Linked DNA regions of Sus scrofa. Each later gene encodes a partner of the first gene's protein in a complex. Links are inferred from orthologs where the notes say so. Each region holds a gene or a part of one and is shown on either strand. Other genes may lie near its edges. The genes, in order: BICD2 and BICDL1.

Region 1 (14,898 bases):
GAAATGTAACTTTAAAAAAATTTTTTTAAAGTATAGTCGATTTACAGTGTTCTGTCCATTTCTGCTGTACAGCAAAGTGACCTGGTCATGTACACACACACAAATTCTTTTCCTCACTTATCTTCCATCCTGTTCTATATCCAATCATAAGTGATTGGATATAGTTCCCTGTGTTGTACTGCAGGACCTCATTGCTTATCCATTCTAAATATAATAGTTTACATTTGCTAACCCCATCCCACTCCCAAATCAATTTTGGAATAATTCATCACTCCAAAAAGAATCTCCATGAACAATCATTCTCCATCCCATTTTTCCCCTTCCCCCAGCAACCACTGATCTGCTTTCTATCTCTATGAATTTGCCTACTCTGGATGTTTTGTAAAAGTGGAATCATAATACATGATCACTGACACCTTTTCTTTTGATCATAATATTTTTTTCAAGCTTCATTCATGTTACAGCATTTGTCATTATAACTAAATAACATCCAGTTGTATAAATGTACCACATACTGTTTTTATATCACCAGCTGGTGGACACTTGGGTTGTTTCTACTTATGCCATTGTGGATAGCGTCTGGACATTTGTGCACAAGTTTTTGTGTGGACATGTGTTTTCGTTTCTCTGCGGTGCCTGCCCGGAAGGGACATTGCTGGGTCAGATGTTAACTCTATGCTGAATTGTCGAGTAGCTGCAGATTTTTGCCACAGCAGTGCACCACCGTACGTACTACCAGCAGCATGTGAGGAAAAAACTACTTTTGACCCCATTTCAAAGGTGAAGAAACCAAGGGTCAGAGGAGGCTGTGACCCTGCACTGCTCACCTCCATGCTCCCTGTCAGGTGGCCACATCGGACACTGGTGCAGGCCTGGTATTCCAAGTCCTGGCCATGTGGCCACCACGGTGGGCCTGGCTGCACTGAGCGCCCTCTACCCCAGGGCAGGGGAGACCAGCTAGGGCAGGCTACTCATACCTGCCTTCCTCTTGGCAGATCAACCAGAACGTGGAGATTCAGCGGGGCCGCCTTCGGGATGACATAAAGGAGTACAAGTTCCGGGAGGCCCGCCTGCTACAGGACTACTCGGAGTTGGAGGAGGAGAACATCAGCCTGCAAAAGCAGGTGTCTGTGCTCAGGCAGAACCAGGTGAGTGTTTGGGCCAGGTGGGTGGGCCAGGTGGGTTGGCTCTGGGCCGCAGCCCTGGCCTGACCCTCACTTGTCTGTCTCCATGTCAGAAGATGTTCCCTCCCTCCTCCCACACAATCCAGCCAAGGGCCACATGCCACTGCAGACCCGGTGTGTGGCAGCAGGGCCTAGCCCCTCCACAACCAGAAAAACAAGGTCTCTGGCTACATTCTTGGCTGGCAGTTGGCCTGGCCAAGATGTCCCAGCCAGCAAAAATGGGGGGGAATGGAAGTGATAAAGAGGTGACACCAAAGACCCCCAGAGGCTGGGTGTCCAGCTTTGTCACCTCTTGAGTGCCCATGGAGGCCACAGATGTCCCTGTGTCCTGTGGGACCCTAGAGCTGTCAGTGCACTCACTCCTCCCACTGTCTCAGGTTTGCCAGCCCCCTTTGTTGGTCCCTCATGTGGTCCTGGGTCTTGGGGTGAAGCCAGGTGGGCCTTGAGGAGCAGTGTGGAGATGCCCGTGTTGTCACCTCATGCCCTTGGATAACCCCAGCAACGAGACAAGTAGGATCACTTCCACCAGGGACAGGAGTAGGACAAGAAGGTCACATCTACCCACTTGTGACAGGATGGGGACAGAAGGATCACCCCCATCTGAGACAGGACAGGAGGGTCACCTCTGCCTGTGATAGGACACCCAGGTGGTTCTGGGCACTCAAGCCTCTCAAGGCCAGCCCCTGCCACCTACTTCTTCAAGAACCACAGCCCTACAAGGTGCAGACTTGGGGGACCTTTATCCCCGGAACCTCAAACATCAAGGACCTGGGTGTTTCAGTCCTGCGCGGGGAAGTGTGGGCCCGTGTGTTTATGCTGAGCAGAGCTTCTGTGCCTGTGACACCCAGCAGGGAGTGGATCTCCTCCCAGGAACATAGGCACAGGAGCTTTGCCTCTGGCCTCACAGCTGGCCCTCTGATGCTATGCTCATGTGCAGTCACACACAGGCCCTGGTGGCACGTGGTGGAGTCTGGCCCCTCCCTGGTGTTCCCCTGCCCCAGGCTTTGATCAACAGAGACCCTCTCAGTCCTGCCTCTAAGGGGTTTGCTTCATGTTTCTTGCACAGATATTATAGGATTATAAATTTGTTCAACATTGCCTATAGACCCTGATCCCCCACATCAAGCATCAGTTTCTATCTGCTCTTTCTTTGTCCACCTGCAAATATAGTTTCAGCAGGTGCAACTGTGGCTTCCGTCTGCCTCTTGCGTTCCTGAGTGGGCCTCTCCCAGGATGGGTTCTATGTGCAGCCAAGGCACATCCTACTTCAGTGGGAGCTTTAGTTCCTTCGTTTTGAAATATGATTAGTTGTGGTTGTAGTGCACATCTAGATACATATTTTATGTATCTTAATATATTTAATCAACTTTTAGTATTAATTAAGTAGTTTATAGAATTTAAAATCAGTATACACTTGGAGTTCTCTAGTGGTGCAGTGGATTAAGGATCTGGCATTTGTCACTGCAGCAATTCAAGTCACTGTTGTGGTGTGGGTTTGTTTGATCCTTGGCCTGGGGACTTGGGCGTGGCCAAAAATAGTGCTCTCACAGACTTGCAGAGATAAGAGCTTTGGTGTTAACAAAAGGGGGAAAAATCAGTGTACACTTGATAACATTTTAAGTCATCTAACAAGTTGACAGCGAGGGAAGTGTTCTCATTTCCACAGCATCTGTGGTGCTGAGCAGGTCCCATGCTTTTCCGCTGCTCACACATATGCACATGTGTCCCAGGCGTGGGCTGAACCTCCTCCCAGCTGTGCAGTCAGCACGCTGGTGCTTCTTCCTATCCCTTGTGCTTAGGAGAGGGTGGCCCTCTCTTCACAGGTGGAGTTCGAGGGCCTCAAGCATGAGATCAAGCGTCTGGAGGAAGAGACCGAATACCTCAACAGCCAGCTGGAGGATGCCATCCGGCTCAAGGAGATCTCCGAACGGCAGCTGGAGGAGACGCTGGAGACACTGAAGACAGAGCGGGAGCAGAAGAATAACCTGCGCAAGGAGCTGTCGCACTACATGAGCATCAACGACTCCCTGTACACCAGCCACCTGCACGTCTCCCTGGACGGCCTCAAGCTCAGTGATGATGCTGAGGCCCTGGCCAACGGCTTCGAGCATGGTGGCCTGGCCAAGCTGCCGCTGGACAACAAGACCTCCACGCCCACCAAGGACGGCCTTGTCCCGCCCTCCTCCAGCTTGGTTTCTGACCTCCTCAGCGAGCTCAACATCTCTGAGATCCAGAAGCTGAAGCAGCAGCTAATGCAGGTGAGTGGGTGGGTGGCGCCAGGATCCCACCCACCCAGGTCTCGTCAGAGCCCTGGGTACAAGTGTACCATCCCCACTGCCATCTGGTCCCCCATGGTGTGGCCAGACCTGCCTGCCGACCACTGGGACAGCACTTGCCTGATACTTTGTCAATGTTATGCACCTTCTTTTACTTATATTACTTTAAATTCTGCGTTATTAACTTTAAGTGGAACTGCAGCATTATGGGTGGAAGGTAATTAGGAGGTTTCTGGATACAAGATTGAAGTTTGGGTACCACCAGAGGTTTTCTGATGACCCTTTGAGGTGCCCAGGTATAGTTTCCTTTGCTGTGTCCTGTAGACATGTCACATCAGGTTTTCCCACCCCAGTTGACAGTTCCTAGGGTCTGTACCACAGCCCCTTGGTTCGCTGTGTGTCTCTGAGGAGGGGCTCAGCCCTGCAAGCATCTGGGCAGGAGGAAGAGGCATCATAGCCCAACATGTGACAACTCCACAGGCCAACAGGGTGATGGTTTTGGCATGGGTGGGGTCACTGCTGGGACCATCCAGAGATCCTCTGGGAGCAGGGACCCCTATGGGCTGTTGATGGGCCCTTTCTGTGCCTTTGCAGATGGAGCGGGAGAAGGTGGGCCTGCTGGCCACACTGCAGGACACACAGAAGCAGCTGGAGCAGGTGCGAGGGGCCCTGTCAGAGCAGCATGAGGAGGTGAGCCGCCTTACAGAGAACCTGAGTGCTCTGCGGCGCCTGCAGGCCACCAAGGAGCGGCGGACAGCCCTGGACAGCGAGAAGGAACGAGACAGCCATGAGGATGGCGACTACTATGAGGTTGACATCAATGGACCCGAGATCCTGGCCTGCAAGTACCGTGTGGCCCTGGCAGAGGCGGGTGAGCTCCGGGAGCAGCTGAAGGCCCTGCGTAGTACACATGAGGCCAGCGAGGCACAGTATGAAGAGGAGAAGGGCCGGCATGAGGCCGAGAGCCAGGCCCTCACCGAGAAGCTCTGCCTGTTGGAGAAGGCCAGCCGCCAGGACCACGAGCTCCTGGCCCGGCTGCAGACGGAGCTGAAGAAGATGAGTGACGTCGCAGGCGAGACGCAGGGCAGCCTGAGCGTGGCCCAGGATGAGCTGGTGACCTTCAGCGAGGAGCTGGCCAACCTCTACCACCATGTGTGCATGTGCAACAATGAGACACCCACCCGGGTGGTGCTGGACTACTACCGTGAGGGTCCAGCTGGTGCTGGCAGCTGCAGCCCTGAGGCCCGTGGGCGCCACTCACCTGTCCTACCCAAGGGGCCACCAGCCACAGAGGCTAAGGCCAGGGACAGCAGCCCCTCACCTGGCTCCTCACTGCCCTCACCCCTGAGTGACCCACGCCGGGAGCCCATGAACATCTACAACCTGATCGCCATCATCCGTGACCAGATCAGGCACCTGCAGGCAGCCGTGGATCGCACCACAGAGCTGTCGCGCCAGCGCCTGGCCTCGCAGGAGCTGGGCCCAGCTGCAGACAAGGACCGCGAGGCGCTCATGGAAGAGATCCTGAAGCTAAAGTCGCTGCTCAGCACCAAGCGGGAGCAGATCACCACACTGCGCACCGTGCTCAAGGCCAATAAGCAGGTGTGCATGGCGCTGGGGGTCCAGCACGTGGGCAGGTGGGAGGGTGATTCCTCACCTCCCTGGCTTCCCATCCCATTCCTGTCCTGCTACTGAAGGAAAACCTCCCCTCAGTGCTGTGTGGAGGGGCTGGTGCCTTGGAGGGCCCAGGGCTGGTCGGGGCCTCGGTCTGTGGCACCCACTGAGGCAGAGGCAGCAGACCCTTCTCACGCCTCTCACCTGCCTATTTGTTGCTTCTCTGACCTTTAGACAGCAGAGGTGGCCCTTGCCAACCTGAAGAGCAAGTATGAGAATGAGAAGGCCATGGTGACCGAGACCATGATGAAGCTGCGCAATGAGCTCAAGGCCCTCAAGGAAGATGCAGCCACCTTCTCCTCGCTGCGTGCCATGTTTGCCACCAGGTAACACTTACTGTTTTGTCCCTGCTCCGCAGCCCAGGAGCATGGCCCTGTGGGAAATTCCATTTCTGCTATTCGTGAAAAGCTAGGGCCCCAGTTTTGTCTCTACATGTACGATGAGAAAGTTGGAAACACAAAAGACTAAGCAGGCAAGTCCCTAGTGGCCAGGCTTGAGGCATGAGCTTTGATGGGAAACAGGCAAGTGGGCAAGTTACGTGAGCTGGGTTTGGGGCCAGTAACTGGCACATGAGGAGTTTGCCCCCCAGAGCTTGGTGGAAGTTTGTAGATTTAGAAGAAAGACTCCCCTCCTGGTAGTGGTGGGTTCCCACTGCTCCCCCTGACCCCACCAGTTGGAGTTTGCAGGGGAGGCAGGCAGTGTCTCTCTTTAGGCCAGTTCTGTGGCCAGGAAGCTTGGGGAGGTGCAGAGCTGGAGGCTGCTTTGGGGCCAGTCTTGGTAACTCCCTACTTGGAAGGGCATGGCGCCATCTGCTGGCCACTGTCAAGTGGGCACCAGGGGAGTGTCCCCTGGGTAGTCCTGGTGTGTCCTCAAGGGCTGGGAGGCTGAGGCTCTTATTTAAACAGGCTTGGAACTGAGTTCAAGGCCTTCCTGGCTTAGTGTCCAGGTGCTGGGCACTCCTTGCATTTCAGTGATGTGGGAGGAGAGGGGCAAAGAGGAAGAAACGTTCAGGCCTTTCTGGAAGCTTTCTCTCCTTGTGGGCAAAGTGGTAGGGTAAGGTCTTGGTTCCTCATACATAGTGTGTCCAGCCCTACTTCCTCAACTTGTTTCATTATTTACTTATTTATTTATTTTTCATTTATTAATTTGTTCCTTTTTTAATGGTTTTTATTTTTTCCATTATAATTGGCTTACAGTGTTCTGTCAGTTTCAACTTGTCTTATTTAAAGGCTTGACTTCTCAGATGGAGCTGAGATGGCAGACCTCTGGACAAGGGTTAAAACTTGCTAAATGGCCCTTGACCTTGGTGGGGAGGGGTGTGGGATGGGTGTGTCCACCACCCCTTCCACCCAGGCTCCACTCCTTCCCTCCCTCAGGGACAGACCCAGAAAAAGGCGTTTGTCTCCCAGCTCCTTACCCAGGTTGGGGGTACGTGGTACAGTTCAGCAGATGCCAAAGTGAGGTTGTTTATGGCATCCACATGTGCTTTTCCCAGGCTCTGATGGGCCGTTTGTCTCAGACTTACTAAGCACCTTGTTCTGAGAACAAGCCAAGTTCTGCCATTGTATTTATCCCCATATCCTGAGAGCCAGGTGACATCTCACTCCAGTCTCCTTCCCCTGTGCCACCTGGAGGCCTTGGAGGGCAGCCATCACCTCCTTTAGTGAAAACTGGCTTCCAAGAGCCCCCAAGAGAAAACTGAACCTTGGAGGGGCACTTCCTCTTCGCTTCCAGACCAATGAGCGGGTGAACCCCATTGAGATCCCCCACCCTCAGCATGGGGGCCATGGTCACATGCTTTGCTGGCTCTCCCAGGTCTCTCAGCTGTGCTATCACCTCCTACAGGTGTGATGAGTACATTACACAGTTGGATGAGATGCAGCGGCAATTGGCAGCCGCCGAGGACGAGAAGAAGACACTCAACTCTCTGCTGCGCATGGCCATCCAGCAAAAGCTGGCACTGACCCAGCGGCTAGAGCTGCTTGAGCTGGACCATGAGCAGACCCGGCGAGGCCGTGCCAAGGCCAACTCCAAGGCCAAGCCTGGCACCCCGAGCGTAAGTCACACCTGTGCCTGTGCAAGTGACAGGGCTGAGGGTGCTGGGCTTGCTGCCCAGGTGCTCTGCGGCGAGAAGTATAACATTTACTGCGATTAGGGCCATGAGGTCACACGCTGCAGCTAACCTGCCGCACGTCACCTCTCCGCTTCACCTCAACTAACCTGGCAGCAGCAGGACCGTGGTGCTAGGCTGGTCTTAACTGACTTATGCACAGGGGAAGAATTTGGCCTAGGCAGCCTGCTGCTCCATCTGGACACTGCAAGCTTTGTGTCTGTTTCTCACCCCTCGAGACCACCCTTCACAGCAGCTGCTCTCTTGGTGGTGGGCGGGGTGGTCAGGGGGGAGGGTTGGAGCCACATGTCCTTGCAAAAAACCTGGCTTACCAGGGCCCAGGTGCCATTGACTCTCACTGAGAGGGGCAGATCCTGCATTGAAACCTGCATGTTCCCCCGCATGTGTCTAATGCAGCTGTACTGCCCTGGCACCTCGACACCAGTGTTAGAGTTTCCATCCTGGATCCCAGATGCAGCCTTGGAGAACACTCTGTGCTTGGCACAGATAATGGAGAGAATTGCTTTTTAGTTTGTGCAGCATCTCGATGCAAGTCACATTTGAGACAGAATTACAGAATTTCTTCCCCCAGATTCAGAGAAAGAGCAGCCCTGAGCCCCACACCCTCTAGCTCAGGCACACACATGCGCTGGGTGGCAGTCATCGTGCTCACAAGGCACAGGTAACCGCACCCCGAGACCAGGGCTCAGCAGCCTCAGCTTCTCTTTCTAAGATCTGTACGCTTGTCTAGTGGCCTACAAGGTGACAAATAGGCAGGCCAGAGACCTGGGTTTTTTCAATGAGAAAAACTTCCTAGCCGCTGGCCAGACCTCTCTCATGGGAAGCCCATCCTCTTGTACTTAGGGTGTCCCTGGCCCTCAGCTGGGTTCTTTCACCCTCTGCCTATTATTAGGCCTTCCTCCCAGAAAGCGTTAGCCTGTAAGAAACAGGGATCTGAGGGCTCCCAGCCTGAGCTCGAGTTGCTAGTGGGTCAGGGCAAAACAAAGGGCTGGATCTCACAGGTGGAGCTGAAGCCCAGCCTGATGTGGGAAAGGAGCCTTGCGTGGGCCCAGGGCTGGTTCTGGGATTCATAGTCGGAGGAATATGGTTCTTGATAGTCTGTGCAGTTCCAGGGGTGGGGATAGGCAGGAAAGGCAGCCTTAGGATTGCCCCATTCTCAGAGGGGCACCCACACCAGAGCTTTAGCAGCAGAACTTCTCTCCATGTTTCTCTCCTTGTCATCCATGGGGGCACCAGCCATGAGGCTGCAGTCTCCCTGAATTGCTCCTTGCCTCCTCTCTCGGGCTTGGAGGGGGGTTTGCATTCCCTCTGATGCAGCTATCTGTCCCCATTCCACTCTTCCCCTTAGTTCCCCAGTGTCAGTCCCTTCCTACCAGACTCCAGGTGCTGCCCAGACCATCTTGGGTTTGGCCAATGGCTGGAGTGAAAATAGGCAGGATGGACCGCCTATGCCCTTCTGTAGGCCTGTCCCCTGCTCCATGCTGCTTTGCAGATGGGACATCAGGTCTTGGATTCCCCTCCCACTTGAGATGGTGTCAGGCCATCTCCCCTCCGCACGTACGACTTCCATGCTGGCCCTGCACACTGGCACACTGCTTTTGCCTCCTTGCCAAGCCTGACCTGCAGCTGCTTTCCATACTTGTCAAGGGTCTTCATGAGGCACTCAGGGCCGGCGGCCCCTCTAACACACGCAGGTCTTCTCTGCTGCCAACTAACACACTCTGGCCCTCACAGCTTGGTGAGAGCTTTAGTTGTCTGACGGGCGACCGATTCTAACACTGTCTTGTTTTCTCCCATTTTCAGCTGTAGAGTAGCTGCTGGGAGGACTCGGCCGCTGGCCCTGTCACATTGCAGCCCCCTCCCCTCCTCTCTCGTGGGCCCACACAGAGGAAGGAAGGGCAGCCTAAAAGTCCACTTAGAAACATTTTTGGAGATACCACTGCAGTTCTTTTCAAAATAGCATTCCCCGAGTTTTTAATGGCAGAGGAAAATAAAAGCTTTAATGTTGAGAATGCCGCCAGCTGCTGCTTGGAAAGGCCTTTGTACATGGGCTGAAGAACCTGCTTGGACAGCGACCACCAGGCTTGCTTAGGAACCCTCTAGGAACTCACCACTGGGGTATCCCTCTTACAGATACTCCTTTTTTATCCGATCAACCTGTGCACTTTTGATATTTTGATATTATATTTGCTTCCTTAATCCCTGACATAGAGATGGTCTCTGATGCCGTACTCTGTCTTGTGGTCCCGTAGTGCTCCAACTTAGCTCCCAACGGTGTGTTGATCTCACATCAGCACGTGGCACAGACGTGTCCTCCTAGCGTGTAGCTCCAGACTGTTTAGATGAAGGCTTCAGCCCAGCGAGGAGCCAGGCTAAGTGCATCCACGCTGTGGTTCAGCAGCCTTTTAGATTCCACGGCATTGTGGTTCATGTTTGAAATTACAGATTTTAAATGCCATGTTCATTAAGAAATCCAGGGTATTGCGATTCTGGGGTTTTTCATATTGTATTATTATTATTCTTAGGAATAGTTCAATGTAACAAGAAGAAAACTTGACCTTTGCTCTGGTTAAACAGTAAAAGGCACTTGAAAACAAAAAGGATAAATTATTGAATGAGTAGTATTACCTACAAATTCCAGAATTTTCTGGGTTTTAGGACATTGTGAAGCATGACTAACAGAATTTTATACAACTGTACCAGTGAAATTCCAAATTGGAATTGTTTTGTTACTCTGGTTGTTGTGCCAAATTGTGGTACACTTAGAAAATTCTACAGTCGTCGATTTTTAGGGTGTTCTATTTCAACACCTTTTTGTTAGTAATCATTGCCAGTAGTGCCTTCATCAGTTAAGGGAGGTGTCCCAGCATAGTTTATTCTCTAAAACAGACAGTGAAGAGCTAGTTGGGAAAGTTGAAGGCCAGTGTGGACCAATCGGTGTGAACAGGCACACACCTTCAAAGCTGAACCTGGGCATCTTCATTGAGGGAAAGAAAACAGCAATTGTGCAAAATTCTGTTAGTCAGTGATTCTTTACTGTGCAGATCCTTGCAAATTCAGGGGCTCAGAAAATGAAAGTGAATACAAACCTTGAGTGTGCTTTGGGAACCAAATGGACTTTATGGGACAAGCTGAACAAGCTGAACACCACACACCATGTTTGTGAAGAGGGGGGCAAGTGGCAGGGGAGCCGGCACTGCCGGCCTCATGCAGTGGGATGAGGGCTAGCCATAGTATTCTTTGCAAATGTGAGAAAGAGACTTCCTGTATCCTCTTGCTCGGTGTAACTAATCACTGTTAATTTCAGGAAACAGAACTCTCTAAAGCTCCTTAGCAAACCAGGTCTACGTCCCATCCTGATTTGCTGAGTGAGGTTGTGCGAATGGTCAAATTGGTACTCTCGGAGGAAGAAGAAAAAGTGTCCTCCCTCCTCTAAAATGCAGGACAAATTATAATAATATAAGTAGCAAAAATAAAAGATTCTGTTTCCTGGAATAGCATTTCTTATTCCTAGTTGTAAGGACCCCTATTTTTACCTTATCTTACAGTGTTGATTCATAAGGAATAATGTTACATTTACGAAAACTTCATCTGTATGGGGTATTTATTTGCAATGACGTCTGAGTACTGTATTTTTTTCTGTGCATTACCTTAGTGTCAGAATGTTGTCTTTATTTTAAGATCATATGCATGTCCTCCTGCCAAGGAACCTTTACACAGACCCAAACAAACAAAAATGCCTTCAGATTCTGAAAAAATGAGGCACAGCATGGAAAAAGGATTAGAAAGAAGAAATCAGGCACAACTTGGGACACAGACATATGGTGCAAATGTCTATAAAAGCCAGTGCACATAGGAATGGTGGGCCTGGGTAAAGGGTCATGTTGGTAGGACCGGTAAATAAAGAATAATAAAAAGACAAAGCACAAGACTTGTTCTCTGTGGCTGCCCTGACCCCCTGCTCCAGATAACTGTGGGTCCAGCAACACACTGTAATTCCAGCCTGTCATTAACCCTGGTGGTGGGAACTAGAAGCAACCTGGGGGGGGCCGTCTTAGTGGTGGGGGGTGGAAGGGCGGGTGGGGGTAGGGGGAGGCAAAGGGCAGGTAGGGGGTGCCTCCTGTGGTGGGCGGACCAGCAGCGTGGCAGTGAGAGCACATTGCCTCCACCCTTCCCTGACCAGGAAGCAAAGAGATTTGGATAACGTGGGATCCTTTGCTGTCTGAACCCAGGAATGAATGGATGCAGGCAGCAGGGATGACTTGTTTGTTGACACAAAACCATCTGCAAGAATGTGTTAAAGCACAATGAGCCCGGCCCAGTGATTGCTTGTGTGGTCATTGGAGACAGATCCTGTCTGAGGGAACAGGAAGTCTCAGGGACACTGCCACCCGCCGTCAGGTCAGAGTGATTTCAAGGACATTGCCACCCGCCAGTCAGGTCGGAGTCATTTCACCCAAATCTCAGGGCTTCCCTCAGGGAAGCTGTCTGAGGTCAAGGTCCTTCTGCCCTGTTATCTCCTCAGGACTCCTCCCTCCACCTAGAGTCTCCCCTGCCTCAGAGTCAGTGAGAGGCCCCTCTCTCTGACAGTCCTCCACCCATCCCATTCTAGTAGTGTGGATCCATGTTCAGTTTGAGACTTAGGTTCAAGAGACTTGTTTTTCCTAGTAGCTAACAGGAATCTTCTTTCCCTACTGGCCTGTCACCACAACAGCCCCCTGGACCATGTTGATAAGAGAGCATGCAACAGATCTGGAAGAGACCCCCTCCCAAGAGGAGGGGGCATGGGCAGTGGGCTGGGCAGGACAGGTGCCTTTTCAGGTGGGGATGCCTGCCCTTGCCACCCTCTGTGTGTGTAGTGCACTGTAGCCACTGCCCAGTCCTGCCTGTGGAGGTGTTTGGTTTGCACAGGCACAGACACCGAGGCCTTCCCTATCCTTCACCGTGCTTTGTGTCCTTGCAAATGTGCTCCATTTCACAGGTGGAGTGGCAGCCTCTCAAGTGGGTAGGATCCTGGGAAGCTGGGAGCCTGTGAGAGGGGGCACTTGGCACTAAAAAGCCTTTCACTCAGTCTTCCTTTCCAGGAGGGAATGTTCCCATTCCCCCCACCTCTTGCATCGCTCTTCAGTGGTTTTTTCCCCCCACCTCGGCAGGTTACCAGAGTTGGAAACAGACAGTCTCTGGCACCAGCTAGGAGACAGGCCTTTGGCCGAATCGTCCCCTCGTAGCTGACTTACCTTGCCTGACCTAACCTCTCTGAGCCTCAGTTTGCCTCCCCTGGTTTGGAGGTGATAGTTCTTTGCTCCAAGGTTCTACTAAAGCTTCACCAAGCCCTAGATAGCCAGCATGCATAAGGCACTAAACAGATGACTGTTGCTAATGTCATTCTTGCTGGCAGTGTCATCGCCAAGGTCTGGGATGCCATGGAACTGGCCTTTGTCCTGTGATGAGTGTGGTTTGTTGTTTTTTGTTGTTTTTTGTGGGGTTTTTTGTTTTTTTTTTTTTTTTTTTTTTTTTTTTTTTGTCTTTTTGCCATTTCTTGGGCTGCTCCGGTGGCATATGGAGCCACCTAGGGGTCGAATCACAGCTGTAGCCACTGGCCTACGCCAGAGCCACAGCAACTCGGGATCCAAGCCGCGTCTGCACCTACACCACAGCTCACAGCAATGCCGCATCCTCAACCTACTGAGCAAGTCCAGGGATCGAACCCGCAATCTCATGGTTCCTAGTCAGATTCGTTAACCACTGAGCCACGTCGGGAACTCCTGATAAGTGTGGTTTTAAGTCAACTTTTTACGAAAATAAAATCTGCGTTCAGGGAAGTGCATAATTCTCATATACAGTCCACTTCTGTACACACTGAACACAGTTGTGTGACCGGAAGCCCTGCCTCTCAGGAGTGCTTTTTGGAGCACATTAATGAGATGCCTTTGCCTGCCATGTCAAGGTGTTGGACTGCCTCCTGCCTGTGGGAGCCTCCTGGGAAAACAGATATGCCTACGTTCTAGCATTACCTGGCATGGTGTTTTAGCAGGTATGGGATGCCATCAGGTTCACCTCTGTGCCCAACTTTCAGTTGTGTCCAAACAGCAAAGCTGGAAGAACTTTGTGTTATCATTTTATTGAGTTTCTCGTGGGCAAGCATACTGGCTCTTGTGTGTTCACCTTGGTCATCCGTGAACTTGCCTTTGTAAGCCTAGGTCCCTGGAGTGGAGTTTCTCTGCTTCCCCTCCCCCCGCCCCCCAGAGCTCCTTCTCCTAAGCAAGCAAAAGGCAGTGCCACAGCACCTCACTTACAGAAAAGACCTCCCTGCATGGATACCATGAGCACACCCCATCATGGGCCTCTATGAGGGACAAATAGGAATCCCTGGTCACACACCACAGTCCCTTTTGTTCATCTCTTAAGGAATCATGGTTTGTTTTATTTACCCTGAAGTGTTTGTGAAGTATAGCACAAACACAGAGGAGTGCAAGCAGGTGTCCACTGGCTGAGTATTTGCAAACTGAATACACTGAGCAGCCATCATCCAGATAAGAAAGCAGATGAGGGCAGGTAGCCCTCCAAAGCCCCTGTGCTCTTTGCACCCACTCCCTCCCAGGGGTAACTCCCTGAATCTGTCAGTATAGGTCACTTTTGCCCATTTCTCTAATTTACATAATGGAAGTATACTGTAGAGACCCAGACCTAAGACAGATTTACTTTGTAAACTGCCTTGATTTCTCATACCATCATTGAGCTGTGGGTGACTCACTTTTGAGTCAAAGTATAAATCAGTTCTATGTAAAATAATGGAAAAAGATAGTCCATGCATACAGTAGTCAAAAAAAAGAATAGGAACAACTATATTAGTATCAGGCAAAATAGACTAATACAAAAATTGTTACTCAAGACAAAGACCATTATATAATGATAAAAGAGTCAATTGACCCAGAAGATAGCTCAATTATAAACATATATGCAACAAACAATAGAGCCCCAAAATACACTGGGGGTATTGGCAAATAGAGACAAATAGATCAGTGGGACACATTAGAGAATGGTACTGGAACAGCTGACATCCACATGTAAAAAAAATTAGTCTAGACCCAGACTTTAAACCCTTCACAAAAATTAACTAAAATAGACCTTAGACTTATATGTAGGACTCAAAATTGTAAAACTCCCAGAAGATAATATAAGAGAAAATCTAGATGACCTTGGATTTGGCAATGGCTTTTTCTTTTTTTTTTTGTCTTCTTCTGGGGCCACACTGGCGGCATATGGAGGTTCCCAGGCTAGGGGTCTAATTGGAGCTACAGCCGCCAGCCTACAGCAGAACCACAGGAACTCGGGTTCCGAGCCGAGTCTGCAACCTACACCTCAGCTCACGGCAACACCGGATCCTTAACCCACTGAGCAAGGCCAGGGGTCGAACCTGCAACCCCATGGTTCCTAGTCGGATTCGTTAACCACTGAGCCATGACGGGAACTCCGTGGCAATGACTTTTTAGATAAACACCAAAGGCATGATTCATGAAAGAAAAAAATCTATAAGATAGACTTCACTATGATTAAAAATTTCTCCTCTGTAAAAGACATTGTCAAGAGAATAAGACAGCCACTAACTGGGAGAAAATATTTGCCAAAAAAA
Region 2 (16,313 bases), on another chromosome or scaffold:
GTTTTGCCAGCTCCTCATGTTTCTTCCACACCTGACTTCAAAAACAAATTTTCTGGAGGATATTTTGTCTTTTACACTTTCTAGTTTTTGCAGATCAAGATGCTAATAAACTTGAGGAAATTTGATGAGTCTTATCATATTTGGAAATATCAGAATCTCTAAGGAAGAAAATTTCATGCTTTACCCTTAGTGATGTGACCGCAATCTACGGCATGTTAGGATGGGTCATATCCAAGTTTACCAGAATATCCAGGTACCAAAAGCAACACTGATGCAGATACATTATAGAGGAATATGAAAATGATTTTTTAAAAAAGGTGAGGCTGAGTAACTAAGAGCAAGTGCTTTAGAGTCAGACAGCATCATAGCATCATGTAGTACTATGTAGTGGTGTTCTATACTAGCATTATAGGGTTATTGTGGGGATTAAATGAGATGTCATGTAAAGGACTTAAGGAATTATTAAATGATGAATATATCAGTTACCATTATTCTAGTATGAAGCAGAATAAATGAAATAATAAGCTTCTTAGATGTCTGAGCTTCTTTTCATATCTTTGCTTGGATGGGTTTTGCATCCCATCATCAACTTCCATGTGGGGAGGTACTTGTTCATTCTTCTTAGCTTAAGGTTGACCTAATGGTCTCAAATAAATGATTTTCAAAGTGTGGTTCATTAACTCCTGAGGTCCCGAAGACCTTTACAGAGGGTCAGAGAAGTAAGCACTATTTTTGTAAGAGTTGCAATGATAATGATTCTAATTTTATTAATAACAGTAAAACTAATTTCATAATCTCATGGTAGTAGACAATACCAACTGTCTACTACTCTTTTTGTTTTTCAATGTTATTGACATTGGCATTGGTTGTGCAAAGGAAGTATTAGGGTAGCCTACCTTAGCATGATTCATGGCAGTGGTACCCAAGCATACTGGTAGACACATTATTCTTTACCATTATGTGCTCACAGGATGAAGAAGAAAATTATTTTCATTAAAGAATGTGCTTGCTGAAGCAGTCCTTTTTTTTTTCTTTTTTTTTTTCTTTTTAGGGCCATACGTGTGGCATATGGAAGTTCCCAGGCTAGGGGTTGAATTGGAGCTACAGCTGCCAGCACACACCATAGCCACAGCAACTCGGGATCTAAGCCATGTCTGTTATCTACACCACAGCTCACAGCAAAGCCAGATCATTTAACCCACTGAGTGAGGCCAGGGATTGAACCCTCATCCTCATGGATACTATTTGGATTCGTTTCCTCTGCCCCACAACTGGAACTCCTGAATATTAAATCCCAATACTTGAGTACACATCTTTTTCATATTCCATGTGATGAAACAGAAGTACCCATAAAGCACTTCTGCATCATACCTGAGTGCGTTGTTGTCTTGAGATTAAGCCCTTGTACCATCATTTGAGTTAGGAGTTGAACTAGTCACATTTTTCATGGAATACTGCTTTTATGTGAATGAATGATAGACACTATGGTATTCAGATTTGGGCACTTAGTAGACATTTTCTCAAAAATGAATGTACCAAGTCTGTCACTTCAAGAAAAACCATAGATGCTATGGTTACCAATGATAAAACTGAAACCTTGCAGCAGAAATAAGAATTTTGGAAAACTCATACCCACATCAGTGAGCTTGATAGCTTACCAATACTTCAAGACTATTCTGATGAGATCGGTTGTAATGTTAATGAATGGTATTTTTAAATATATAGTATAGGTGAATATGATAATAGAATATGTATATTCTTTCAGATTTTTTCCCACTATAGGCTATTAAAAAATATTGAGCATGTTTCCCTGTGCTGTACAGTAGGTCTTTATACTATTTATATTTTATATATAGTGGTGTGTATTTTTTTAATACCAAACTCATAATTTATCTCTCCTCTCCTTGCTCATTTTTTTGATTTGAGAATATATAGTTATTTTTCATTAAATACATTATGTTAACATATAACAGGTTTATTATACGTATTCAAAATAAATATTAAGAAATTTTCCATTTCAGTTTTTTGATACAGTAAATATCTAAACCCCTATAAAGTTTTTTGAGATCTTCAACAAGTATTAAGACTGTAAAGGAGTTCCCATCCTGGTGCAACAGAAAAGAATCCAACTAGGAACCATGAGGTTGTGGGTTCGATCCCTGGCCTCATTCATTGGGTTAAGGATTTGCTGTTGCGGTGAGCTGTGGTGTATGTTCACAGACACCATTCGATCTGGTATTGCTGTGGCTGTGGCTCTGGCGTAGGCCGGCAGCTACAGCTCTGACTGGACCCCTGACCTGAGAACTTCCATATGCCACAGGTGCGGCCCTAAAAAAAATAAATAGTACTTCAAGGAGTTCCCTGGTGGCCTGTTGATTAGGGATTTGGCATTGTCATTGCTTTGGCTGGGGTTCAGTCCCTGGCCTGGAAACTACCCACATGCTTCCAGGGTGGCCAAAAAAAAAAAAAAAAAGTAGTCCTCCAAGCTTAAGCTGGTCTCCTTTGACTTCCTTTCACAGGAGGATAGTACTTAGGGCCAAAGCTGTAGTAGCAAATGATCACTTCTTGGTCAGGTTAGGCAGGAGACCATTGTGAGGAAGGACTTTCAGAAATTAGAGTTGCACTTTAATATGAACTTTTGTTCATTCTTATAGTAACAGGCAAGTCTAATAGAGTGGGACCATTGAGTTTAGGGTAAGACATAGACTTCTGGGGAAAGATAGGCTGCAAGTCTGTATCAAGGAAAAATAAATAGCTGAAACTGCTTTTGATTAGGAATTCTGTTTGCTTTTGATATGTGTGTCCCTAATCTATTTTTAAGAGTAAATTATTGGAGTTCCCATTGTGGCTTAGCGGAAATGAACCCGACTATTATCCATGAGGATGTGGGTTCAATCCCCAGCCTTGCTCAGTGGTTCAGGTATCCGGCATTGCTGTGAGCTGTGAGGCAGGTTGCAGATGTGGCTTGGATCCCAGGTTGCTGTGGCTGTGATGCAGGCCGGCAGCTATAGCTCTGATTACTAGCCTGGGAACTTCCATATGCTGCAGCTGTGGCCCTAAAAAAGAAAGAAAAAGACAAAAGGAGGCGTTCCCGTCGTGGCTTAGTAGTTAGCGAATCCGACTAGGAACCATGGGGTTGCGGGTTCGGTCCCTGGCCTTGCTCAGTGGGTTAAGGATCTGGCGTTGCCATGAGCTGTGATGTAGGTCGCAGACTCGGCTTGGATCCTGCGTTGCTGTGGCCCTGGCGAGGGCCGGCGGCTACAGCTCCGATTAGACCCCTAGCCTGGGAGCCTCCATATGCCGAGGGAGTGGCCCTAGAAAAAAGGCAAAAAGACAAAAGGAATTTGCAGCTGGATCTCACCATGGGCCCACAATTTCTGCTCAAAACGGCATAATAAAATAATGTTAGAACAGTGCATTGTTGGAATAGTACCATGGTCAAACTTTCAAAATTAGCTCTATAATTGATGTAGGAACCCCTCTGTTGTCTATCTCCTTTTCAATCAAAAGAGAACAAAGTTAGCCCTGAGGCTCAGAACCCTTTTGGGATTCTCACCTTCAATCTGAGGGTAGAAAATGATGTATACACCTGAGTATCATTTAGGTCCTGAGTTTAACAAGGAGAAAAAGCCAGGAGAAACTATTTGACTAATTTCAGCCACTGGTGTCCTGAAATTTCCATCTCACTGTGATGAAATAAAGTATGATCTAACTCAGAAATGGGTCATTGTCCAATAGGAAAGGGAAAGAATAGGGACCAATTCTAGCTTCAGATGGGATTGTTTCTGAAAATAGGAAACAAACATCACCAATGAGGTCAAAGCAAAAGCTGACTGGAATCACCCAGCAGGATCTTCAGTTCTTGGTTTGGTCATTGCAGAAAGCTTTCCAGATAGCACTGTGGAATTAGACCCAGGCCATTTTGGTCACAAACTACCATTTACCTTTCTCAAGACTTAGGTGGGAGGAAAGTAAAGAATATTACCGTGAACCCTGGAATCAGCCTGCCTGGATCTGATCCTGTATCTCTCATGGCCTCAATTTCCTTGCCTGTAAAATGGGATGAGTGATCGTACTGACTTTATAAAGTTCTTGAGAGAATTACTTAAGATAGGGCATATAAATAACTCAAGACACGGTACATACTAAGTGCTTAATAAAACATAAGTTACGATCAAGGAGTCTTTCCTTTGTATTCCTATCTGTGAGCAGGTTTTCTGTCACTTCTCAACAGGACCCCTTCCTTTCGGGCTGCTGATCTTCAAGGTATCTGGTCCCTTATATCCCTGAGTCATCATCATTAAGATGCTGGGTTTCTGAAGTCATCCCTCTTACTGCTCTCTAGGGCTCCCTCTCTTGACTGCTTAGCTCTCGCGGGGGCTCAGGCCCGGAATCCGTGACCGCGAGTCTGTGTCGGGCTTAGCCAGTCGGGGAACTGTCGCTACTCCCCTTGGAGACCACCTAAGACTGAGAGATCCATCAGACACAGAGAAACGCCTCAGTCGAGAAGCCGGCGTGAGGCCAAGGGCGGCGCGGTGCCCCGAAGTGAGAACAAGGCTGGGGGCGGGGCAGTGCTCGGAGGTGCGCGTGAGGCCACACCTCGAGGTGAGCGTGCTGGGGGGCGGAGCCACACCCGGAGGTGGACGCGAGGCCGGGGGCGTGGCCGCGCCGGGGGGCGGTGCGGGGGGGCCCGGACCGTTAGGGATGAGCCACTCGTCGCCACAGGCGGCGCGCGCAGCCGCTCCTGGGCGCGAGGCAGCGCAGGGGTTAAGGCCGCGGTCGCCACCTGAGCGCCGCTGAGGAGACCCACGAACTGGCGAATCGCGCGCAGGCGCGGTGAACAGGTGCCCGCGCGCGTCAGGCGCCAGCAAGGGGCGGGGAGAGGGGGCGCGGCCGGAAGCCCGGGGCAGGGTGCGGCCCGCGGGGTGATAGCTAGGAGCCTAGGAAGGCAGGAAGGAGCTCGCCCGGCTGCGCCGCGCGCGATGTGGAGCCGCCGCCTCGGCGCCTGCAGCAGCCGCTGTCGCCGCCGCTGCTGCTGCTGGGGCTGCTGCCGAGCCGCGGGACATGGAGCGCGGCTGCAGAAAGCGGCCGCCGGCAGCAGCAGCAGCGAGCGTCGCAGCGACAGCGGAGCGCAGCCCTCCCCGTGAGGCGCTGCCTGGCCGGCGGCGGCAGCGGCAGCAGCAGCAGCAGCAGCAGCAACAGGGAGGCTGAAAACCCGGCAGCGGCGGCGGCGTTCCTCTTCGCAGTCTCTCTTCCCGCTCCGCATCCCCTAAGTCTTTCCTTCCTCGGCCTTGCCTTTGCCACCCCCACCTCTTACCCAGCTCGCGCTGAGCAGCTGAGCCCGGGGGCGGGGGGAGGGCGCGCGTGCCGCCGGCGCGGGGGAGGGGCGGGCCGGCGCGCGCCGCGCCCAGGGCTCGCGGGGACCCGGGGGGCGCGTGCTGCGGCGCGAGGCGAGGAGCTGGGCTCGGGGCGGCGCGGCGGGGCCCCTCCCCCCTGCAGCCTGGCGCGCGCCGGCCGGGCCGCACCGCTGCGGGCTCCGCACGCGCGGGCCATGTCCGCCTTTTGCCTGGGCTTGGCTGGCCGCACTTCAGCACCCGCTGAGCCGGACAGCGCCTGCTGCATGGAGCTGCCCGCCGCGGCCCCGGACGCTGTCGGGAGTCCCGCCGCCGCCGCCGCCCTCATCTCCTTCCCCGGGGGCCCTGGGGACCTGGAACTGGCTTTAGAGGAGGAGCTGGCGCTGCTGGCGGCCGGGGAACGGCCGTCCGACCCCGGGGAGCATCCTCAGGCCGAGTCCGGGCCTCCGACCGAAGGGGCCGAACTGCAGCCGCCGCCCGCCCAGGATCCCGAACTGCTGTCAGTGATCCGGCAGAAGGAAAAGGATTTAGTGTTGGCTGCCCGACTGGGCAAAGCGCTGCTCGAGAGGAACCAGGACATGAGCCGGCAGTACGAGCAGATGCACAAGGAGCTGACAGATAAGCTGGAGGTGAGGACGTCCCTTCTGGGATGGGTGGGAGGTGGGGGGAGGGGGAGCCCAGGCACCCCCCCGCTGGCCCTGGGTAGCCTCAGGAGTCACTCAGTCACTCGCCCCGCCCCACCCCTTCGTTGCTCATCCTGCCTCATAGAAAACCACCTGGAAGGGGGTTAGAATCGAGGGTTTTGGATTATCAGACTAGGGGATTGATCGAACTCACCTGACTTCGCAACCTGCTCCCAGCAAATAGGTCCACTCACTGCTCCAAACGCTGTGGGCCGTTCTATATAAGTAATGTACACAGCGTCTAAAATAGAGCTTACAGTATGACTAATTCATACAACACTGAGGTGATGTCTGCACAAAGAGAAATTAGAAAGTCGGGAAGCATTTAAAATATGCTCCAGGTTTTCAGAGAAGTAGGTAATCGCTAATCAGGGTGTTAGCCTAAAGCTTTCCAGCTTTGGCGTTAAGGCCTCCAGATGCCCTTGTCTCAACTTCCCGGCTGCTCAGAGTTGTGGGAAACAAGTGCCCCTAAAGGAGCTTTATATAGCCTTCAAATACTCGGGGATTAGGAAATAAGGTTCCATTGCAGAAATCAGGCGAGTCTGATTGGGCTCAACATGTGACGGTTGCGTGTTTGATTTGGGCCTCAGTGTTTGTATTTAAATGATACTTTTCTGTTTCTGTTCTGGGTCTCACGTGTAATTGGATGGCCACATGCATCCTATGGGAACCATCTAACTTTATTGTTGTAAATATCCCTTAAATTATGTATAAGATTTCTGCCAGTCCTCTGGACCAAAGTCTTTTGCAGCTATGCCCTTTTTTTCTTGCCCTTAACTAGAAAAGGGCAATGAAAGTGGTACAGATGGCCACCATTTCTAAAAATTAGAGATTTAAAAAAAAAAAAGTGAGAGTGGGGGTGGTGCATCTTTGGCACTGGGGATGAGTTTATCTTTTTCTGCCTGTGCATTTCCTATTGTTACTCAGTTTAGCTGCAACCAGTTCTTTTTATTCTTAGTTACAAGAGAGCACAGCCCCGAGTAAGGGGTCTGAAAATGATCGTAGTGGAGTTCCATATCACTGCTACTGTCCAATATTCAGAATGTAGATTCAGAAACTTTTCTATAATAAGTGTATCTGTAGTCCAGCGACATATCAGAAGTAAATAAGGAAGGAAAAAAGGGAAACCAATGAGTGCCCTGTAGTTCAGTTAGCCTGTTAACTAGGTCTGCCAGTCGATGAACTCCTGAGATACTTCTTTGAAAAGTGGTTTGTGAAACCTATAGGTAGACTGCCAAAAAGCAACCCAATGAATTGAATTGTTTAATTTTTACTTGAAGTAAAGGTCTGGAAATAAAAGGGTGTCTTTTATTTTTTAAAGGATTCAGTTACAGACTCTATATAGAAGTATTGTTGCAGAGATTTATGCTTGTGATTTGTTTGAAATTTCTTCAGTGAGGGACCTGATTAAAGAGACAGCTAACTTGAACATCATACCAATCAGTGTGATTCCTGATTTCAGGGAAATTCTGAGTGTGTGGTTACACACATCCTGGGTTCCATTTGGAACCTGTGTACTAATGTCTTCAACAAAGGAAAAAGATTTCAAATTCTGTAGCAAGAAGGGTTCTATTGTAAAAGAAGAAACTACATTTGACTTTTTGCTTTTGACTTGATAAACACGATAAAATAGTTTAAAACTCTGAACTATTTTTTAAAAACTTCACTCCTTTCAGGTCAGCGTATGAACTCTAGTGTTAAAATTATTTTTAATTTCTGGAGGTTGGTCGCACAACACTGTGAATTTAATTAACACTGAACCAACAGTGCAGTTAAAAATGGTTAAGATGGTAAATTTTGTGTTATGTATACCTTACCACAATTTTTAAAATAATGTTTTTTAAGTTTATTTTTAAAAAGTAAAATATGGGGAGTTCCCGTCGTGGCTCAGTAGTTAACAAACCTGACTGGTGACCATGAGGTTACAGGTTTGATCCCTGGCCTTGCCCAGTAGTTAAGGATCCGGCGTTGGGGTGAGCTATGGTGTAGGTCACAGACACAGCTGGGATCCTGCATTGCTGTGGCTATGGTGTAGGCTGGCAGCTACATCTTCGTTTCAACCCCTATCCTGGGAACCACCATATGCTGCAGGTGCAGCCCTAAAAAGACAAAAAAAAGTAAAATATTGATCATTAATCAATATTAATAAGTTATAAGGGGGTTCAGTTATACTACTACTTCTAGGTATGTAAAAATTATTAAAAATTGTTAGTTTTTAAAAAGGTATATTAAAAATATCAAAATATTGTCATTAATTCCTGGTTAATTCTTTTAGTATTCATATGAGAGTGACAACTCTGATTAACAGGGAACTATTTCATTTGATACTTGGAAGTGAAATTTTTCCTTGCAAATTATACCTGCAAGTAAATTTTTTTTCCTTTTTTTGGTCTTTTTGTCTTTCTAGGGCCGCACCTGTGGCATATGGAGGTTCCCAGGCTAGGGGTCTAATTGGAGCTGTAGCTGCCAGCCTATGCCACAGCTACAGCAACACCAGATCTGAGCCTCGTCTGCGACCTACACCACAACTCATGGGCAACGCCAGATCCTTAACCCACTGAGCGAGGCCAGGGATCGAACACGCAAACTCATGGTTCCTAGTTGGATTCGTTTCTGCTCCGCCACGACAGGAACTCAAGTAAATTTTTTTAAGCAGCCTAGATTTTAGAATGTCTGGTTGGACAAATTCTAAGGTTTAACATAGCCAGTGTGCTAGCGTTTCAAATAAATTCAGTATTTAGGAGTAGAGAGCCATTCCTTATTTTAAAAATCATGCATAGTTTTCTACAGACTATCAGACAGTGGAGTCAAACATTTTCTCATGGGTTAGTTTGAAAGATAAACACATGAATGGACCAGAGAATGCTGGTTTGACTATTAAACAATGAGCCTGGTTATGTTTTAGTCCCATCTGCTTCCTTACAACTTTAGAATTGACCCCTTTCTAACTTCAAGACCAACAAGTCATTTTCAAGATCTTTTCTCCCTATTTTTTTGTTAATATTGACTACCTCTCCAGTTCTGTGCCTCAAACTCAAGGTTTTGTTTCTTCATTTAAGACAGAAAGTACTTGATCTTACACTACTTTCTCACTAAAGGTATGCTCTTTTTAAAGTTTTTATTGGTTTAAAGATTAACATAGAAGTTTTTTTTGTTTTTTTGTTTGTTTTTTGTCTTTTTGCCTTTACTTGAGCCACTCCCACAGCATATGAAGGTTCCCAGGCTAGGGGTCGAATCAGAGCTGTAGCCAGTGCAGGATCCGAGCCGAGTCTTCGACCCACACCACAGCTCACGGCAATGCCAGATCCTTAACCCACTGAGCAAGGCCAGGGATCGAAAACGCAACCTCATGGTTCCTTGTCAGATTCATTAACCACTGCGCCACAACAGGAACTCCTAACATAGAAGTTTTGTTATGCTTCTCTTAGGGTTAAAATGAATCTTCATTTTAACTTGAGAGACTGTGAGGTTTTTATTATTTTTTCCACCCTTAAATTGACTATACTGTATTTCATGCCCTGAACTAGATTTTCATATGCTCAAGTATCTGAAAGCATTTTTAAAAATTTATTTCTTCTGCATCTACAATTAGCCATTTTGCTTTTAAAACATTCAGCCATACCCTTAGATATTTTCCCCCAAGAATATGAACTAAGACAATAACTTGCATTTATACACTTTTTTCATCAGAGATTGTTTATCTAGTTTTTTAAAATATATTTTTAATATGCAGGCTCCCCTTTCTCCCTGTTCTGAGTGAATTATCTCTTACTTCAGAGGTAGTCTTTTCCCTCAATTGCATTTTCTTCCCCCTTCTCTAGGCCAATTCTGAGGATTCTATCACTATTTTTTTTAAGAGGCAGAACAAATAAGGTGAAAATGATTACCTAATTGGCTAGTAGACTTAGGTAAGCAAATACAGGGATCCTTATTTGCATTCAGTGCTTGGTCCACATACAAATATTTTTTCTTTGTGTATTTCAAGAACCTTAGCCTTGATTTAGAGAATAGTATTGCTTTTTCGGTTCTTTGCAGAAATCCATTTCTGTAGCAGCCAATTTTAGGTGGGCTAATGATACTTATGTTTTTTCAAAAATCTTGAACTTTTTAAGAATTGTTTTAGATTTTTTAAATTTACAGAAAAATTGGAAAGATAGTACAGAGTTTCCATATACCCTACCCCCAGTTTCTCTGTTATTAACATCTTACATTTAGCATGGTATACTTGTCATAATTAGCGAACCAATAGTGCTAAGTTATTATTAGCTAATGTCCTTAGTTTATTCAGATTTTCTTAGCCTTTATCTAATGTCTTTTTCTGTTCCAGGATATCGCATTACATTTAGCTTCTGTATCTTCTTAGTCTGCTCTTTGCTGTAGCAGTTTCTTAGACTTTCCTTGTTTTTGATGACCTTGATAGTTTTTGTGTGTATGTGTTCTTTTTTAAAAAAAAAAAAAATTTAGTTGATTTACAGACCTTGATAGTTTGGGCATTAACTTTTTTTATTGAGGTATAACTGACATTGTATTAGTTTCAGGTGTAGATATTAACTTTAAAATAACATATAACCCCGAGAAACAAATAGCATGGGCAGAGGCTGACCTCCACACCTGCTGATGTTCTACCTAGAGTTTACTGGTTAATTTAGCACTTAATCGAAAATAAAATTCCAGTAGAAACTTAACTTTTTTCAGAGTAGACAAAAGGCTAAATTCATTATTTAGTATTTTCATTAACAGGTAAGTGTTGATTTTTTTTCCCCCCAGGGTGTGAGGAGACCTGAATTAGGAAGTTTGTCACACGCTCAAAGAAATTTAAGAACAGAATAGACTGATCAGCACCACCTGTCCTCAACCCTGCACCCCCCCCACCACCACCACCCCGGCCCCGCAAGTGGATTGGATTGTTTTAGTTGCTTGGTTGAGCTGTTCACTAACAGCTGTTTGCTGAATATTTTTAAGTCTCTCTGTTCTTTTAGAACACAAGCCTAATTTATCTGGCCTCTCACTAACACTGTGATTACTGAGTTCTTGCTGTTGCCTTCTGCTCAGTCTTTTCCATTTTGGAAAAACTCAATAAAACCAAGTATCACAATTTTAGGATTGCAATTAGCACTTGCTTCTGTATATCATCTTTCTGAAGTTTGTACAGTGATTAAAACATTCTCATTTTTGGAAGTTTACAAAATGAGGGCAGCATAGAGCAGGAAATTCTCTTGCTAAGGAGTTCAAGTCCCTCTTTTGTCAATCCTTTTCCCATGTGCTCCAAACTGAGGCCATATAAAGTTAACTATAATGTGACTCTCAACAAACACACCAGAGTGGCTATATCCAATTTTTTTTTTGTCCTTTTAGGGCTGAACCCATGGCACATGAAAGTTCAGGCTAGGGGTTGAATCAGAGCTGTAGCTGCTGGCCTATGCCACAGCAACGTCAAAACATTAACCCACTGAGTGAGGCCAGGGATTGAACCCGAGTCCTCATGGATACTAGTCGGGTTCATTACCGCTGAACCACGGGAACTCTTATATCCAAATTTGTTATTCCCTTGAAGTGGTCAACTTTGGAGAAACATGCGTTTATTTCATTGAGAACTGCCTTTGCTAGTGTGCTCAGAATTTTAATTGTTCTGACTGCTCCATCATGGTAAATTTTCATCTTTTGGGGGTAAATTAGACTCTCAGAAACATTCACAAGTCACTCAGAGCAAATCAGGGGAAATGGAATAATCTCTTTTTAGATCTATCTCATATGTGAAGTAATGGAACTGATTTTCTTGTAAATGTATGCGGGCCCTTAAGGCTTTCCAAAAGAGGAATTCCAAGAAAATTTGTAAGGTTAGAACTTGGATAGAATAAGAACATAGGTTTGCAAGTGAAAAAATGTCTGAGTACTCAGAAGAAGATACAAATGTTCATGTTAGCATGTTGAAACAATTTCAGTGCTTGGTGTCAACCTTCATTGCCTTAAAAATTCCTGTAGAGCTTAGAAAGATAGATCCATCCCTAGGCCAATCTTTGGAAGTGATGTTCAGGTGGATATATAACATTTTCTGATAGCACCAAAAGTTTAGGACTGTTGCTTTACATTTCAGTACTCCCTGAGGTATAGACTTGGCTTTTTTGTATGTTTGTATACATATTTGTATAATATACTTCGTAAGGAAGAGAACATACTTGTTTCTGAAAAGAGGCATTCTTATATCACAGAAACAGAAAGATGTTCTTCCTTCAATCCAAATGATTATTTTCTGAACTGCTACTTCAAACCTTGTGTACTTTTCCTGCATACCATTTGTCATAATGTACAATTTATTACTTTTATCACCCTCTCCCTATAGAATGGAAACTCCATAAAGGCAAGCAAGCATCATGTCTGTTTTGCTCATTACTGTGTCAGTGGTGTGTCCATAACAGGCTTTCAAGAATGAATGAAAGCCCACTCCTGGGCATCTATCCAGAGAAAACCATGACTCAAAAAGACATAAGTACTCTGGTGTTCATTGCACCACTGTTTACAAAAGCCAAGACGTAGGAACAACCTAAATGTTCTTGGACAGAGGAGTGGATGAAGATATGGTACATATACAATAGAATATTACTTGGCCTTTAAAAGGAAAGAAATAATGGCATTTGTGGGAGTTCCCATCGTGGCGCAGTGGTTAACGAATCCGACTAGGAACCATGAGGTTGCGGGTTCGGTCCCTGCCCTTGCTCAGTGGGTTAACGATCCGGCGTTGCCGTGAGCTATGGTGTATATTGCAGACGCGGCTCAGATCCCGCGTTGCTGTGGCTCTGGCGTAGGCCAGTGGCTACAGCTCCGATTTGACCCCTAGCCTGGGAACCTCCATATGCCATGGGAGCAGCCCAAGAAATAGCAAAAAGACAAAAAAAAAAAAAAAAAAAAAAAAAGAAATAATGGCATTTGTAGCAACATGAATGGACCTAGAAGTTATCGTGCGAAGTGAAGTTAGACAGTGAGGCACCAGTGTCAGATGCTGCCACTTACATGTGGAATCTTAAAAAAAGGACACAATGAACTTCCTTGCAGAACAGATACTGACAGACTGAAAAACTTATGGTTTCTGGAATGGATTAGCAATGAGATCCTGCTGTGTAGCACTGAGAACTACATCTTAGTCATTTTATGATGGAGCATGATAATGGGAGAAAGAACAATGTATACATGTATGTGTAACTGGGTCACCATGCTGTACAGTAGGAAATAAATGGGTAAATAACAAGAAAAAATGTTTAAAAAAAAAATTATGGTTTCCAGAGGAGACAGGTTGGCAGGGATGGGGTGGAGGTATGGGCTGGGGGTTTGGAATGGAAATGCTATAAAATTGGGTTGTGATGATCATTGTACAACTATAAATGTAATAAAATTCATTGAGAAAAAAGAATGAATGAAAGGATCAGAAATAAATATGCAGGACTAATAGGTCATGATTTAATAAATGTAGACCTGAATTTGAAGTTGCCTTAATGATTTTGAAATACAGTGCTGTATATAGCAACAAATGTTTATTGAATTGTCATTTAGAGCATTAAACAGTCTTAACATTAAATATTTTCATTAGGAATGGCATTCTCTTTGTTAAACCAATCTTCTCATCTCTGAAAGAAGGGAATACTTTTGCAGCTGTGAAATGGGCAACTTTTTCTACGTAGCAGAGTGTTTTGTTGTGCTGACTAGGAAAAAGAAAAGTTAAAAGAAGTGAAAAGAGGAAAAAAATGAAAGGCCCTGGAGTTTTTAACATATTTAAAATCTTCTTCATTTTTTATCCAGCACTTAGAACAAGAGAAACATGAACTAAGAAGACGATTTGAGAACCGAGAAGGGGAGTGGGAAGGGCGTGTGTCTGAGCTGGAGAGTGATGTGAAACAGCTCCAGGATGAGTTGGAGAGGCAGCAGGTTCATCTACGGGAAGCAGATCGAGAAAAGACACGGGCTGTCCAAGAATTATCAGAACAGAACCAAAGGTTATTGGATCAGCTTAGCAGGGTGAGTCACAAGTTAATTTATGGTATAAAATACTAAAAGTTGAAACAGAGCTTCTGTGTAATGTCAGGAATATATTCAGTAAGAGTAGTTCTGATTTTTGTTGCCTTTGGTATTGGTGTCAACACATGATGTCTTTTTCACCTATGAAAATTTCAGCTGTGGTGAACTTGAGTCAGGAGCAAAGACGCTTGCCTGTCATTAGCCAGTTGTGAGACTTTGGCAATCACTTAACTTGGGTGTCTTCTCATTTTTAAAATGAAGGACTTTGCTTAATGATTTGATGTTCGTTGTAGCTCTGAAAGCCTGATTGTTTTACCTAGAGAAAGTCTGTCACTGGTAAAAATTATGTTAATGCATTTAGTTCAGATGTTAAACGGTGCCATCTTTGAACTGAAAAGCTTAGGGAAAATTTCTAGAGCAAATGTTTTTCATTGATTTTTACAGTTGTGAATGTACCTCCCTTATTTAAATATGAAAGGAGGTGTGTGTATCTGTATCTAAAATTTGTTCTTATTTCTACCTTAGGTAAAAGTTCTTTATTTGTGAGTTGAGAGAGTGGTGTCTTGAAGTATAATTAACCAAAATCAAGACTTTAAAATCCAAGCTTCCCGTTGGTGGCTCAGCGGGTTAAGAACCCAACTAGTGTTCATGAGGATAAGGATTCCATCCCTGTTCTCACTCACTGGGTTAAGGATCCAGCATTGCAGAAAGCTGTGGTGTAGATCACAGATGTGGTTCACATCTGGCCTGGCTGTGGCATAGGCCGGCAGCTGCAGCTCCCATTCAACCCCTAGCCTGGAAACTTCCATTATGCCACAGGTGCAGCCAGAAAAAAAAAAAAAAAAAAGACTATAAAATCATTGCAAAGACAGAGTTTGAGGACTGAATAGGTGGAAATGTAATTTAAATACAGAACACATACTTTTTTAACAAATGCAGGAATGTTGTTAATGCCCTGGTCTCCAAAGCTACCTACTTTTGAAAATTAAGAGGTGGATTTAGTATTGTACCTCAGTCCTCTTTAGGTGTTGAAAATAAAACGAGTTCAGTTATCAGAGGAAAAAAGAACTTCTCTGCTCTCATCTAAGCACTAAGTTCTCCTGAGAGCACTGCCCTTGTCTGCCTGGTTAGTGCTTGGTACTTAGGTCTCTGGGAAAGTCTTAGCTAGAGCAGCATATGAACGTTTCACTAGTTTGTGTCAATGTTACTTTCCCTGGGGACTTTGAGACTGGTCAGAACCTTCATGGCTCATAAGGAAGTGCGAAATAAACGCTGCCACAGAGAAAGGGAGAGGAAGAAGGAGAGGTACAGGGGAGAATGGAACAAGGGGACCCTGGGCAGAAGGGAGATGGGGAGGGGAGGCAGAGAAGACAGGAAGAGAAAGAGAGATGCCTAATAACTTGGAAAATGTCTAGTTGCAGGAGATTTCAGAATGTCTCTGAAGGTGAGAATTCAGGTGGTAGTGGAGCTAAAGATACCGCCTGCAGGTTTCTCCTCTAGGGAATCAAATCACTATTTGATTGGAAAGGAAGAGCATGACAGTTCTTTGATTGGTCAGCTCAGTATCCTTTCAGAGTCAGTCCTAAAACCTTTTTCAGCGCCTGGGAAGGGAATCTCTATCCTTGTAAGATTTTATAGATTTTTGACTCTTTGTTCATTATTCATTAAAGATTAACCATTAAAGATTGGTCAGATTGATTTATTTGTTAAGAAACATTTAATGCTTATTCTGAACAAATGTTTCTTATGGAGACTTAGGAAAGGAATACAACAAACCAGAACTGGTGAAGGGGAAATAACTTGGGAGCTAAGTGTTACATGTTACAAAATAATGTGAGCAGAAGCAGACTCAGCTTTGCTTTCTGATCTGGTGAAAGATGGGAGGTCAGGAGACATGAAGGGAGAAAGCACATATTAGCAGGACATAGTGAGAGCAGTGAGCTTGGAACTTGAGTGCATGTTGAGTCTTAACTCTGCTTCTCATTAAATGAGTGACCTTGTTTGTGCTTCCCTTTCCTTATGTTTAAAATGGGGGCAAGGGCGTTCCCGTCGTGGCGCAGTGGTTACTGAATCCGACTAGGAACCATGAGGTTGCAGGTTCCATCCCTGGCCTTGCTCAGTGGGTTAAGGATCCGGTGTTGCCATGAGCTGTGGTGTAGGTCGAAGACGCAGCTCGTATCCCACATTGCTGTGGCTCTGGCGTAGGCCGGCAGCTACAGCTCCGATTAGACCCCTAGCCTGGGAACCTCCATATGCTGCGGGAGCAGCC

What was found.
Region 2: BICD2 (region 1) and BICDL1 share a complex: the UniProt entries of both Homo sapiens proteins name them as parts of the tripartite complex. The link is inferred for Sus scrofa from reciprocal best matches to the Homo sapiens genes BICD2 and BICDL1.

The regions. Positions count from the first base shown.
Region 1 is NC_010445.4:42,389,562-42,404,459, reverse strand, and holds the end of BICD2 (protein bicaudal D homolog 2), read left to right. Parts: intron 1-995; coding exon 996-1,148; intron 1,149-3,007; coding exon 3,008-3,442; intron 3,443-4,054; coding exon 4,055-5,062; intron 5,063-5,308; coding exon 5,309-5,460; intron 5,461-6,979; coding exon 6,980-7,289; 3' UTR 7,290-9,068; coding exon of another isoform or gene 9,069-9,074; 3' UTR 9,075-11,189; downstream 11,190-14,898. UniProt on the Homo sapiens protein: Acts as an adapter protein linking the dynein motor complex to various cargos and converts dynein from a non-processive to a highly processive motor in the presence of dynactin.
Region 2 is NC_010456.5:39,999,014-40,015,326, forward strand, and holds the start of BICDL1 (BICD family-like cargo adapter 1), read left to right. Parts: upstream 1-5,451; 5' UTR 5,452-5,551; coding exon 5,552-5,983; intron 5,984-13,828; coding exon 13,829-14,044; intron 14,045-16,313. UniProt on the Homo sapiens protein: Acts as an adapter protein linking the dynein motor complex to various cargos and converts dynein from a non-processive to a highly processive motor in the presence of dynactin.